2 linked regions of the Bombyx mori genome follow. The main gene of each other region encodes a partner of the protein of the gene in region 2 in a complex. Links are inferred from orthologs where the notes say so. Each region holds a gene or a part of one and is shown on either strand. Other genes may lie near its edges.

Evidence for each region.
Region 1: condensin complex subunit 1 (region 2) and condensin complex subunit 3 share a complex: the UniProt entries of both Homo sapiens proteins name them as parts of the condensin complex. The link is inferred for Bombyx mori from reciprocal best matches to the Homo sapiens genes NCAPD2 and NCAPG.

What each region holds. Positions count from the first base shown.
Region 1 is NC_085122.1:6,234,749-6,241,023, forward strand, and holds the start of condensin complex subunit 3, read right to left. Parts: upstream 3,516-6,275; 5' UTR 3,329-3,515; coding exon 3,173-3,328; intron 2,410-3,172; coding exon 2,239-2,409; intron 1-2,238. Other genes in the region: centromere-associated protein E, read right to left, coding at 5,773-5,970, 6,070-6,275. UniProt on the Homo sapiens protein: Regulatory subunit of the condensin complex, a complex required for conversion of interphase chromatin into mitotic-like condense chromosomes.
Region 2 is NC_085114.1:10,431,561-10,437,353, reverse strand, and holds part of condensin complex subunit 1, read right to left. Parts: coding exon 5,633-5,793; intron 4,951-5,632; coding exon 4,780-4,950; intron 3,913-4,779; coding exon 3,640-3,912; intron 2,826-3,639; coding exon 2,561-2,825; intron 2,036-2,560; coding exon 1,847-2,035; intron 1,192-1,846; exon of another isoform or gene 1,091-1,191; coding exon 991-1,090; exon of another isoform or gene 294-990; intron 1-293. UniProt on the Homo sapiens protein: Regulatory subunit of the condensin complex, a complex required for conversion of interphase chromatin into mitotic-like condense chromosomes.

The sequences.
Region 1 (6,275 bases), on a different chromosome or scaffold from region 2:
ACGCAGGGTCTCTGCGACCCAGCATGTTATGGAAGCAAAAAGGTGTGGCGCTGAAGCCAGACCGAAGGGTAGGCAAGTCATTTCGTATAATTGACCTTGGTAACTGATTCTTAGGAAGATTTGATGAGATTTTTTGATCGGTACGTGAAAGTATGCCTGAGAAATGTCCAGTTTTATCATCCAGTCCTCTGGTTGGAGAAAATCTGGTACTACAGTGTGAGAGATCAGTTGAAAGCGTTTTGTCTTTACAAACTTGTTCAACTCTCGAAGATCGAGAATCGGACGCATCGATCCGTCGCTTTTCTTTCGCAGAAACAGCTTGGACATAAAACTGGGTGTTTTTTTGAGAACAGGTTGCAGTACATGTTGATTTACAAGGTCCTGAATCACTTGAGACATTGCAGGTGATGAATTTGTGGCATATTGTTTGATTGCCTTGTTTAGCGGCATGATCAGAGGGGGTTTTTTGAATAATGGTATTCGGGAACCAGATATTGTTGACATTACAAATTTGGTGGCGCCCAGTGTCTGCCATCGGTGTTTGAACCTCTTTAACTGCCCCCCTCTGAATTGTGTCAGACAGTCATTTTTTCTTAGTTGTATTGTTGCGAAAGGAATTTTGTTTCTTGTTATTATCTTTGTTTTTGATGTAATTCTGTTTTGTATGTTGTTTCTTGTCATTGTCTTGACTATAATTGTTTCTTTGTCGAGTGTTTGGTCTAGATGTAGGCGGTGTAGGCTCATTAAATTTTCTTTTAAGGTTTGGCCTGCCTTTTGCCTGAGGTTGTGATAACCAGAAATGTGGCCCCCCGAGGGCCTGAATTAGTGATTTTAATTTACTATTATCGAACAAAAATTCTTCGCTGGGTGGTACGTTGGAAACAGCAGTTTGAATGTTTTTATCAGAAATGCCAGAAATTAACCTCTGACGTCTTATTCCTATGCATTCGGCCCTTTTTCCGCATACAATCTGCAGCGTTTGTTTGGATAATTTGTACAATGGCGATGATATACCAAAGTTTTCAGTAATTTTATTAAAAAGATGATCGGAATTTAATTCTGTTGGATTTTTATGGGCCCAGTCAACGATCCCTTGTAACCCCGATTGTAATATTTCCCTTTGGTACAACAAAGCATTAGTCAGTGCAGCTATGAATTGCTCTGTGGGTGCTAGGTAATCTTTTTCTTTATTAAGACAACACAATTCGTCGTTGATCTTTAGATTGCAAAAGCCCGGTTGCGCGATCATCTCCTTTAGCACTTTATTATAATGAACATGTTGCCAATTAGGCGAGTTAAAATGTTGGAGATCAATTAGTTGTTTCAATCTGTTGTCGTCAGCAGGTTTGATGAATTTTTTGTCATCGAAGTCTGTCTTACAAATACCTAGCGCCAGTGATTTTGGCTCTGTTGTTGAAGGATTTGTCAAGTATTCCGTATCAACGTGATTAACGTGTTCAACAATAGGTTCGCAACAATTTTCGTTGCTATCACTTGTTGCACACTGTTGATGCATTATTAAATTTGTAAGGGCACTGACCTGGTGGGATAACGCGTCGATTCGGAGATCGACCGTTACCTTTGAATCCCGATGTTTCTTACGGAGAGGCTCCTCATGTTCTTCTTCGCTTGACGTCGAACAGCTCGACCGCGAGGTGTCCCCATCGCGTTCCTCCTGTATACCTTCCCTCTCGGACGTTGTTAAATTTGAAACGACATCACCCCCAACAGATGATGCGTGATTCATGGTGCCTGACGATAGGACTGGTACCTAACACTTGTAGTGATTGCAAAGTAACACTCTTTGAAGCTCAAAAGGAATATTTTTTACAATCAGTAACAGATCGAATAAATATTTTAAGATTTTTCGACCTCACGCTACGAAAGTATACAACGCTATGAGGACGAAAGACGGCTGCGCTCTCTTATACTTGCTGGCCACGCCTGGCGGCTAAAGATGGAACTACATTGACAGTCTATGGTTGAGTATAGACAAGGAACGGTATAGACAAGGAACTTAAGCTAAGTACACACGGCTTCTTCATAATACAATGCTGTATGTTTTCCAGAGGCACATCAATAGATACTTCTTGAACTATTTTTAAAAACAACAGCTGATTGATACACACTATTTCACTCTATCATGATGTGATTAAAACATTTAAAAAAGTACCAGAAAAAAGTTCTAGACTCTATCTTTAAATTGGGCAAATTACTTAAGTAAATATCAATACTTACATCAAATATTACTTCAAAGATAAACAGCAAGAATTCCTCTTCATCATTTAGAGAAGTACAAAATGTAGCCACAAACTGTATTACACGATCAACATTAGCACTTGTATCCCCAAAAGTAAACAGATACATAAGGGCATTTTTGAAACTTTCACGGAATGATTCTTCATCTAACTGTAAACGTTTTAATAAAGTTACAACTTCTAATGTTTATTTTAAGAAAGTTAGAAATAATCAGTATGAATAGATTGCAATGAAATAAATCGAGAACATCATAGTACTTAATTTGAACGAGCTGACCAGCCACTTTGTGTCAAATAGTTTTCAGAGCTGATAGACATCAGAATCTGAATGTTGCAGGCATACAATTTTCATCTCACCAGTAAAATTAAATGTCTATTCTTTTATGTTGTTTTTTCATTCAAAATTCTCCACCCAATAAAATATTTGCTTCATAATACTGTGATACTTTAAAAACTTAGCCTTTGCTAGAATTTATATATTTCATCCATTAGCAGGCCGCAATTACATTGACACCTGATCTTGATGGATTAGTCAAAAAGAATTTTGAGAGCAATATTGATCCCAGTTGATACTTTCACAAATTCCACTCCACTCATATGACCACTTTTATTTTATAAATTTTATAATTTCCTTTATTGATGCACAAAACAAATAACAACCATATAAATTATAAGTTTAAATATTTAATATAGCAATTTGGATTGCAATTCAAAACAGGTGCATACAGAAAAATTATAACAACTGAACAAATGCTTAAATACCTTGTATTAATAATAATAATAATAGTAATTAATACGGTTATAGTTGAAAATGACAAAATAAATATTTTGTGCCGGTGTTTATGAACAGTGAGAACAGAAGACGAATAAAACAAAAACATTATTCACTAATTAAAGACTAGCAGCCAGTTTACCTTTCTATATAGTTTACTCATTTCTTTAACATATTTCTTGTGTTGTACAACATTAAATTGGACGTTTTGAAATATTTTGAACATTATCGGATTGTTTCGCGGGTTTGGTCTAGAAGACAGTACAGTGGTCGGTATCTCAGCATCCGTCGGAGCCATTTTTATTTATGATACTCAATACACGAAATCCTAGCACTGCATTTATATTTTATTATAAAATGACGTACTTATCAAAAAAACTAGATACCAACGACAAAATATTTGATATTTTGCCAGGCTTATAGGCGACCGTTGTTGTTTTGTGATTTAAATTTGAGTAATCAAATTTGAGTGTCAAAGTCAAAGGAGCAGCTTTTTGTTAGAAGAGGCGAAAGGATTTTATCATACAGCCGCATCTTTGTTGGTTTCAGAAATCAAATCCATATCGGTTTTTGAAAAGTATTTAGGAAATAAAACACCGAATGGAAAATACCTCCACATAGGGGCGTCATTGCTCGGTACACTGACGATCTGAAAGATGTTTTTCGGTGTTTGCATAAGACTATCTTCAAATTGTAATTAGCGCGACTCGGGTTTTGCAACAATATATTTTAATCTGTGATAACACCGTTTCAAGTAAAACGGAGCGAGTGCAATTAAGTTATTTTATCTGAAATTTATTATGGGATTACATGAAATGAAATTGACGTCGTCGTGGTCTAAAGGTCCAGTATAGTCGTATCAAGCGAGCAATAACGCCTTTCGGTTTGAAGTGTGGGGCAGCCGTTGGACTATAAAAACGTGAGAATTAGAATTTGTCTCAAGATGGGCAGCGGCATTGACGGTGTTGTTGTCTATGGGCTTCGGTAATCACTTAACACCAGGTGGGCCAGGAGATCGTCTACTCAGCTAAGCAATTTAAAAAAAAGGCATGGCGAAATGAGGAGAAATGAAATAAATATGCCTTGGTAAAATCCTGAAATATTTTCAATGTTTACATGGACCTCAATAAAAATTATATAACAAGAATTGGTAGTAAGGTGTGCGAAAAATCCGCAGCTTGTTTACTTTGCCATTTAACATGTAACTTTTGAAGACGTCGCTGCCTAAAGGATAAGACGTTCGGTGCATTCGTATCTAGTGATGCAACGGTGTTCGAATACCACAGGCGGGTACCAATTTTTCTAATGAAATACGTATTAATACATTAATGTTCACGATTGACTTCCACGATTAAGGAATAACATCATGTAATAAAAATCAAACCAGCAAAATTATAATTTGCGTAATTACTGGTAGTAGGACCTCTTGCGAGTCCGCACTTGTAGGTATCACTACCCCGCCTATTTCTGCCGTAAAGCAGTAATGCGTTTCGGTTTGAAGGGTGAGGCAGCCGTTGTAAATATACTGATACCTTAGAATTCATATCTCAAGGTGGGGTGGCGGCCTTTACGTTGTAGATCTATGAACTCCAGTAACGACTTAACAACAGGTGGACTGTGAACTCGTCCACTCATCTAAGTAATAAATAAAAAAAGTCATGCTCTGGTTTTGAAAAACAGTACAACCAATATTATAATATAGTGAAAATACTTATTCTTTTAAATTTCAAGATTCACGTGTCTACGGGTTTCAGTAATTATATAGTACAAAACCTTACTTAATATCTACATTAGTAAAAAGTCAAATGATAAAGAAAACGGTCTCACAGTATGCAATTTAAGAATTTATTGATTTTTTTTGTATACATAAGTTTAGGAAGTCTGTATTAATATTAAATTAATATTTACAAATCCTATAAAATGAATGATGCAAATATTTAAATTTAGTGGCATACAAAAAAAGCAGTTAGGTTATCGAATGATTTTGTAAATTTCTTTTAATTAATATTTATTATAAACTATTAATAACACTAGTAGAGAAAATGAAATTCGACTTTGTAATAAATAACTCGAAACTTTTTGGAAAAAGTTCCATATCATGATTTTTAATAGGAGTTGAAATATACAAATTGTCACGTTAGCGTATAGCGACGAAATACTCCTTGCGACGAAAAACGAACTTTTTGCACAGCTGCTTCTAGGTTGTACTTAGAGCCCGTTTAAAAAAATATTGAAATAAGCTCTTACTTACAATGTCTTAATTTTCTGTTATGCATTTGCATTTCTAAATTAAAGGCAATTCGTTTGTTTCTATTCTAACTGCTAGAAAGTAATAATGCACATCCTTTGAAGTAACTTTTTTTTATGAAAACATATCACAAAATAAATTGTATAAAAATATTTAAATCTCATTCTGATATGTTAAATTTTCAGTAAGTACAACTGAGTTGATTATTATAATTTGAAATCATATAACGTTTCAGAAAAAGAAGTTTTAAATAGTTCATATTCGATCAACATCTTATAATTACTATATTATTAAAATTTAAAGTCATAATGCTTAAAGAGTAATTCACACATGAAAACATTATTGCAACGGTGGCTCAAAACAAATAATAACTTTGCAATAACGTTATTAGAAAGCTAGGCATTATCGGTATTATTATAACATCTGTAATTATTAATACTTAATAAGTAGTAAGCTAGTATTATTTTAGGTATTACGTTATTTCACTAATGTTATTACTCAAGATCATCAATTAGAGAGTCAAGCTCCTTTTGTAACGACACAGATTCTTCTCTTTGCTTTAAAACATCGTCTTTGAGCCGATCTACATTGGCCATGAGCAAAGCATTTCCTTTTTTCAAAGCGTGTACTCTTGTCTCGTGTCGTTTCATTCGCTTTGTCAGATTATCTTTTTTGTTCGGGAGTGGAGCATCCTGAAAATAATACGAATACATAGTAAAATATTAATATCCAAGTAGTCAAACATAATTACAAAACCTTTCGTTACGTTTATAATAAAACCAAAATCTTACTTCTGGTTCACTTTCGCTCTCAGTCTCGCTTTCAGTGTCTTGTTCTGTTTCAGTCTCTGATTCTTCTTCCTCTGACTCTGTCTTCTTTTCTTCTTCGGATTCTTCCTCCTCTTCTTCCTCTTCTTCTTCGTCCGAACCAACTTCTTTCATCATAGCCGCCATCTTATCAACTTCACGCTTCAATTCTTTGTATTTACGTTTTTCTT
Region 2 (5,793 bases):
GGCAATATATTGGGAAATACAAAAAAACTTGATCAGATGAGCAAACTTAGTCCAAACTAGTGAAAGAATTCAACAGTTTTTGTTTGTTTTATTTACTCAGTCTTGCAAAATGTAATTATGGACATAAGTTTAATAATCTCTCTATTTACTGATTTGGACACAATATAACAGCTGTTGATTTCGATCGGCCATTTTGAAAAGAACACTTTAAGCCCTATCTCATGGTTTAATCGCTCTCTTATGACCGTTTCTAACTTAACACCCCTTCAAATCGTTCAATCCCGTTTTTGCAGGATAGCTGTCGGAGCACCGTGGTTCGTGAGAAACGTGGATCTCCATGATGATATGTAGCTGGACTTCATCTTTAGTCGGCATCAGTGCGCCATTTCGAGAAAGCGGCACGACACGCAATCCTTCTGGTCGTGGCCGCCGGTAACTACATACCCGATCCTGCGGACCGAATATTAAGCAGTCGACGTCGCACTAAGCACGTCATTGCGGATCTTCGCGATCTAGTATCGGAGCTTTTAGGTAGGTACCTCAAGCACCGGTAATCGTTCCCTTTGAACCCTTCGACGAGTAAATTAACCCACAGACACAGCCCACTGAGTTTCTCGCCGGGTCTTCTCAGTGGGTCGCGTTTCCGATCCGGTGGTAAATTCTACGAAACACTGCTCTTGCTAGGGCTAGTGTTAGGTTAGAGCCCTGTGAGCTCAGCTACTCATTCGGCGACGCTGGCATAGCCTTCTAAGGCTATCAGCTCAGGTAGGAAAAAAATTACCGTGTAAACTTTGAGATTATTTAAACTCCTAAGGTGAGAGTTTAACTATGATTGAAATTACGAGTTGATCTTCAGTAACTGTTTAAGCCTTCGATTTTAGTTTAAAATACTATTGATATTACGAGCCTTAGTTTTCTAGTTATTGTTTGTTTTATTGTTCATAAAAAATTAGAACGATAGTAAATAAGCATAAATAATTAATGACTAACCTGAATCTTCTGAATCATTTACAATCTTTTGTTTATTTGCTGCTTTCCGATTAGATTTTCTAGTCGACACTGGGGTTTCGACGTTGCTGGGAGGTTCATTCTACAAAATAAAAACACGAGCCTTTGAATGTTTTCAACAAATCACGTAAAAAAAATTATGTAGTCCCGATTACAACCTAATTCAATAAATGATACCTAATGAAATAGTTTAATAATGACGCGGCAATAATTGTAATTTTTTTTATAAGGAAGCCTGAATCAGTACTGCAATGTGAAATTGCGTTAAGAAGTGCCATTGAAATTTAATTATTTCTTTAAAATTAAGTGATTCATAGCGTTAAATTAGTTCTGATAATACGAAAACAGAAAACGTACATGAGAATTTAATGAATTTCCCAAGGGCGCTATGATTCAAACAATGAGGCAACAATTTTTGGTTATATCAAAATTTCGAAAGAAATGGTCAGATATTGCAATAACACAATGAATAAATACCCGATCCTGTGGACCGAATGGTAAACAGTCGACGTCGCCCTAAACACGACATTACGGATCTTCCCGATCCATTAATGTTGCTTTTAGGTACCTCAAGCAACAGTCACCGTCTTCGCCGAACCCATCACTTGCGACGAAGGGCTCGACGAGTAAATAAATCCATAGACACAGCCCACTGAGTTTCTCGCCGGATCTTCTCGGTGGTAGATTCTGCGAAGCACTGCTCTTGCTAGGGCCAGTGTTAGCAACACTCCCGGTTTGAGCCCCGTGAGCTTACTTACACGTCAAGGCGAAGCTGAAATAGCCTCTCAAGGCTATCAGCACAGGTAGGAAGAAAAAAAAACAATGAATATAAAAGTACCTCATCTGCACTGGATGAAGATCTCCTGCGGTTCCTTCGGGGCGCAGCCCGCCGTCTGGGAGTGGCGCGCGGACCCGTCGCCTTCTTGTCAGTGTCGCCACTGCCTTCAGTGGTTCCTTCACAATTACCTTCCTCAGCGCGAACCGCAAAGCCTTCTTCTATTTTATCTCCCAGTTCGGTTACCAAAGCCTAAGCGGTATATTGAAACAAAATTATTTATTTATTTATTTACTACTAGCGGCCCGCTCCGGCTCCACTCGGATCTTTAACAAAAATTTAAATGATATTTGACGTTGTTTTATTTTTTTAAATAAAAGAACACTTATTGCGGCATAACTATAATAGTTAGACATATGCTGTCGCGACACTTTTTGTAAGTAATCATGTATTCTACAAAGTCGTAGTACATTATTTTATTCTATCATCAATGGTTTTCGCAGGGCACGCGATGTAAAGAAAATTTTAGGTAATTTTTTTACACCTTGGGTTACATTATTGAAGTTTTAGTAAGGATCCCTAATTTTTTTCAAAAAAGATTATTATAGCCTATGGCACTCGGGAATAGTGTAGCTTAAAAGTAGTGAAAGAATTTTTCAAATCGGTTCAGTAGTTTCGGAACCTATTCAATACAAACAAACAAACAAATCTTTCCTCTTTATAATATTAAGTATAGATTCGAAATATAGGAAGTATCGGTTGTTTTTCATTAATCACCTTAATGTCGTTCTTGGCCATTTTGGAAGCGTTATTCATAATTGTGTTGAAAGACTCCATCACTCCTTGACAATATAATTTATCTTTGTAACAGTCGAGATTTTCAATGAGTTTCCTTAGTGACCTTTCGTTGTATGTAAACAGAGAGAGACAATAAGCTAAGTCTCGCCACTGTCTTTCTTCTGTTGATAATTTGAATCTTTGGCATAATTTCTCTACTAGTGCCTCCATTTGTCTGTCTTTTTGGATTAGTGAAGTTATATATCTGCAAACATAAATGTAATGAGAACACAGCCTAGACGAAATGGAATTTTTCGTAATGTGTACGCACCACGTTATAAAGACCAAACTCACGATGACAACAACAATGGCAACACAATATGTGCTTCTCGATTAATTTGGTTAATTAATTACATAGTATCCGCAAACCCAGACAGTTAACTCGCCGTTATAATATTCAATTGGGACTTAGACCTCATGTCTCAAGGTGCGTCAGGGCATTCCTGTTATGATGTCTATGCGCTCCGTCAAGGTAATAAAAGCGTGTTAATTATTCTTCTTCATCTTGCCCTTATCTATACTAATATATAAATCTATAGTGGTTTTTACGGATGTTCCGTTATAACTACTGAACTGTGCATCCGATTGACTTGAAACTTGGTATCCATGTAAAAAATAGATGTACTTAGTGGATAGGCTAATATTTATATGAGTGTTGGACTACCTAATAATAATGACAATAAATAATAATGTTAATTTTAAATGCACAGCGAAGCGGGCGAGTACGCCTAGTCGCTTATAATTATATTGTGAATAGGGGTTTAGCATTAGTTTTACGACTGGCCACTTATTTGACGCCTACCCTTCTTAGAGTTAAATTTCCATTACAATATGTCACAAGGAGGGAATTTTCTGTTCTTCTTTTGGTTTTTAATTCCCTTTATCCGTTTATAGGGCTATGTTTTGCATTTTCATATTATAAACAAACAAAAAACACATTTTATTGTTTTTTCGGCATTTTTTCACATTATTCTAAAAAAAAACCGTATTAATTATTTTCGAAAAGCTAAAATACTAACTTCATAATAATTCTGTATTGCTCTTCAGGTACATTCAAATCCGGATCGCTCAGTCTTGATATAATATCGGGCATGACGTTGTATAGGGCGTTTCCCTTTTGTGAAAGCTGTTTGAAGAAGAGGCGCGTCATACTCGCCACTTTAGCGTCCGCGTCCGCGCAGCACAGCGCCATGTCTGCTATCTGTCCCTTCACGCGGACCATCTCGTGCAGGACCAGAAACGACAGCATCTTCACTGCACACTGACGGACTTCTAGCTCCTCGTCGCTTAGACTGAACATAATAAATAAGCAATCAGCGAGAAAACTGGTGGTACCAAAGATAACATAGCTATGTAAACATTATTTTTGCGCGTATTGTTTTTTGCCTACTGAAATTAAAATTCATGAAAATTCAAACCTAAATGCCTCCATACTAACTATGGTAACTAGGCCACTTTTACGCTGATGGCCTCATTTACACTCGTATTTTCTTCGGTTTTCGTGTGTCGTAAATATAAGCTGGTTTTAACTGGTGGGAGGACCTCTTGTGAGTCCGCACGGGTAGGTACCACCGCCCTGCTTATTCCTGCCGTGAAGCTGTAATGTTTCGGTTTGAAGGGTGGGGCAGCTGTTGTAACTATACTTGAGACCTTAGAACTTATATCTCAAGGTGGGTGGCGCATTTGCGTCGTATATGTCTATGGGCTCCAGTAACCACCTAACACCAGGTGGACTGAGAGCTCGTCAACCCATCTAAGCGATAAAAAAAAACAGTCATTACAATCACACATAGGTTTCCCATGTTGTTGTGTGTTTAAATATATACATGTATAGATATATATAAAAAATTCAGACTACGAGCAAACAAATCTGTTCGTCACACGAATATTTGCCCGACGTGGCGGGCGAATCTTCGGCCAAGCAACAACTTTCTGACTCAAAGGCGCAATAGTTAGAGCCCTTAACTATTGCGCCCTCGAGTCAGAAAGTTTCATACGTAATATTTAAAAACATAAATTATTATCGAAATGTGATCGTCATGTGGGGAGGCTTAACGACAAAGGGAAGATCTTCCACCGAGCGACTTTCAGGCATCTGTCAATTATCTTGCGTTGTATGATGGCTACCCGCCACAGTCATAAAATCGTTTCTTACTTACATGTGATAAATGTGATGCGTCCACGGCTGCGTAAGATTCGGGAATCTCAAAGTGAGGTCGGCGAAGGCAATTGTCAAATTGGTTCTCAAAGATACGTTTTTCGATCTTTTGAGTAACGTAATCATTAGTTGCAGTCCATCTTCGCACACTGAACTCGAGACTAACATGAATCTGTAAATTATATTCATATGTACTTGACGTTGCCATTAGCCATATGGACAGTGACAAGTATGTAGTGACAAGTAGTAAGCCCCACACGAGAGAATTAGAAATATTAAAAAATATGTCAGTTTAAAATAATTTAAGAAAATATACATCAATAACTAGCTGACCTAATCTTTTGTATAAAATAAACTTAAAACAAACAAAAGGAATCCGTCCGACGGGGGACACATCAAAGGAAAGACAAATTTGTTATTTTTATTTCATTCCGAGCATTTTCATATTTATCCACCTTTTAAACCTTCTCTCTGGACTTCCACAAATAATTCAAGACCAAAATTAGCCAAATCGGTCCAGCTGTTCTCGAGTTTTAGCGAAACTAATGAACAGCAATTCATCACTACATAGTATAAAACAAAGTCGCTTTCTTTGTCCCTATGTATGCTTTAATCTTTAAAACTACGCAACGAATTTTGATGCGTTTTTTTTAATAGATAGTGATTGAAGAGGAAGGTTTATATGTGTAATAACATCCATTAAATAGTGGAGAAATCAATAATAAATTACAGTTTCCGAAGCGAAGCGAGGGCGGGTCGCTAGTTTTTATATATATCAACAATGGAGGCCAATTCACAAAATATTAATCTACTGAGACTATTATCGGGAACTAGGAGTAGACACGCTGTAGGACCTAGTGAGTGCGAGCGCGGCGGCGGCGTGCAGCGCGGGCGGAGCGGCGGCCCCGAGCAGCGCGGCCAGCAGCGGCCGGTACCGCGCCAGCGCCGCGTCGCCCGCCGTGACGTCACGCTCGCACACGCCGCGCACGTACTCCGCGTCCGCATCGTCCGCCGC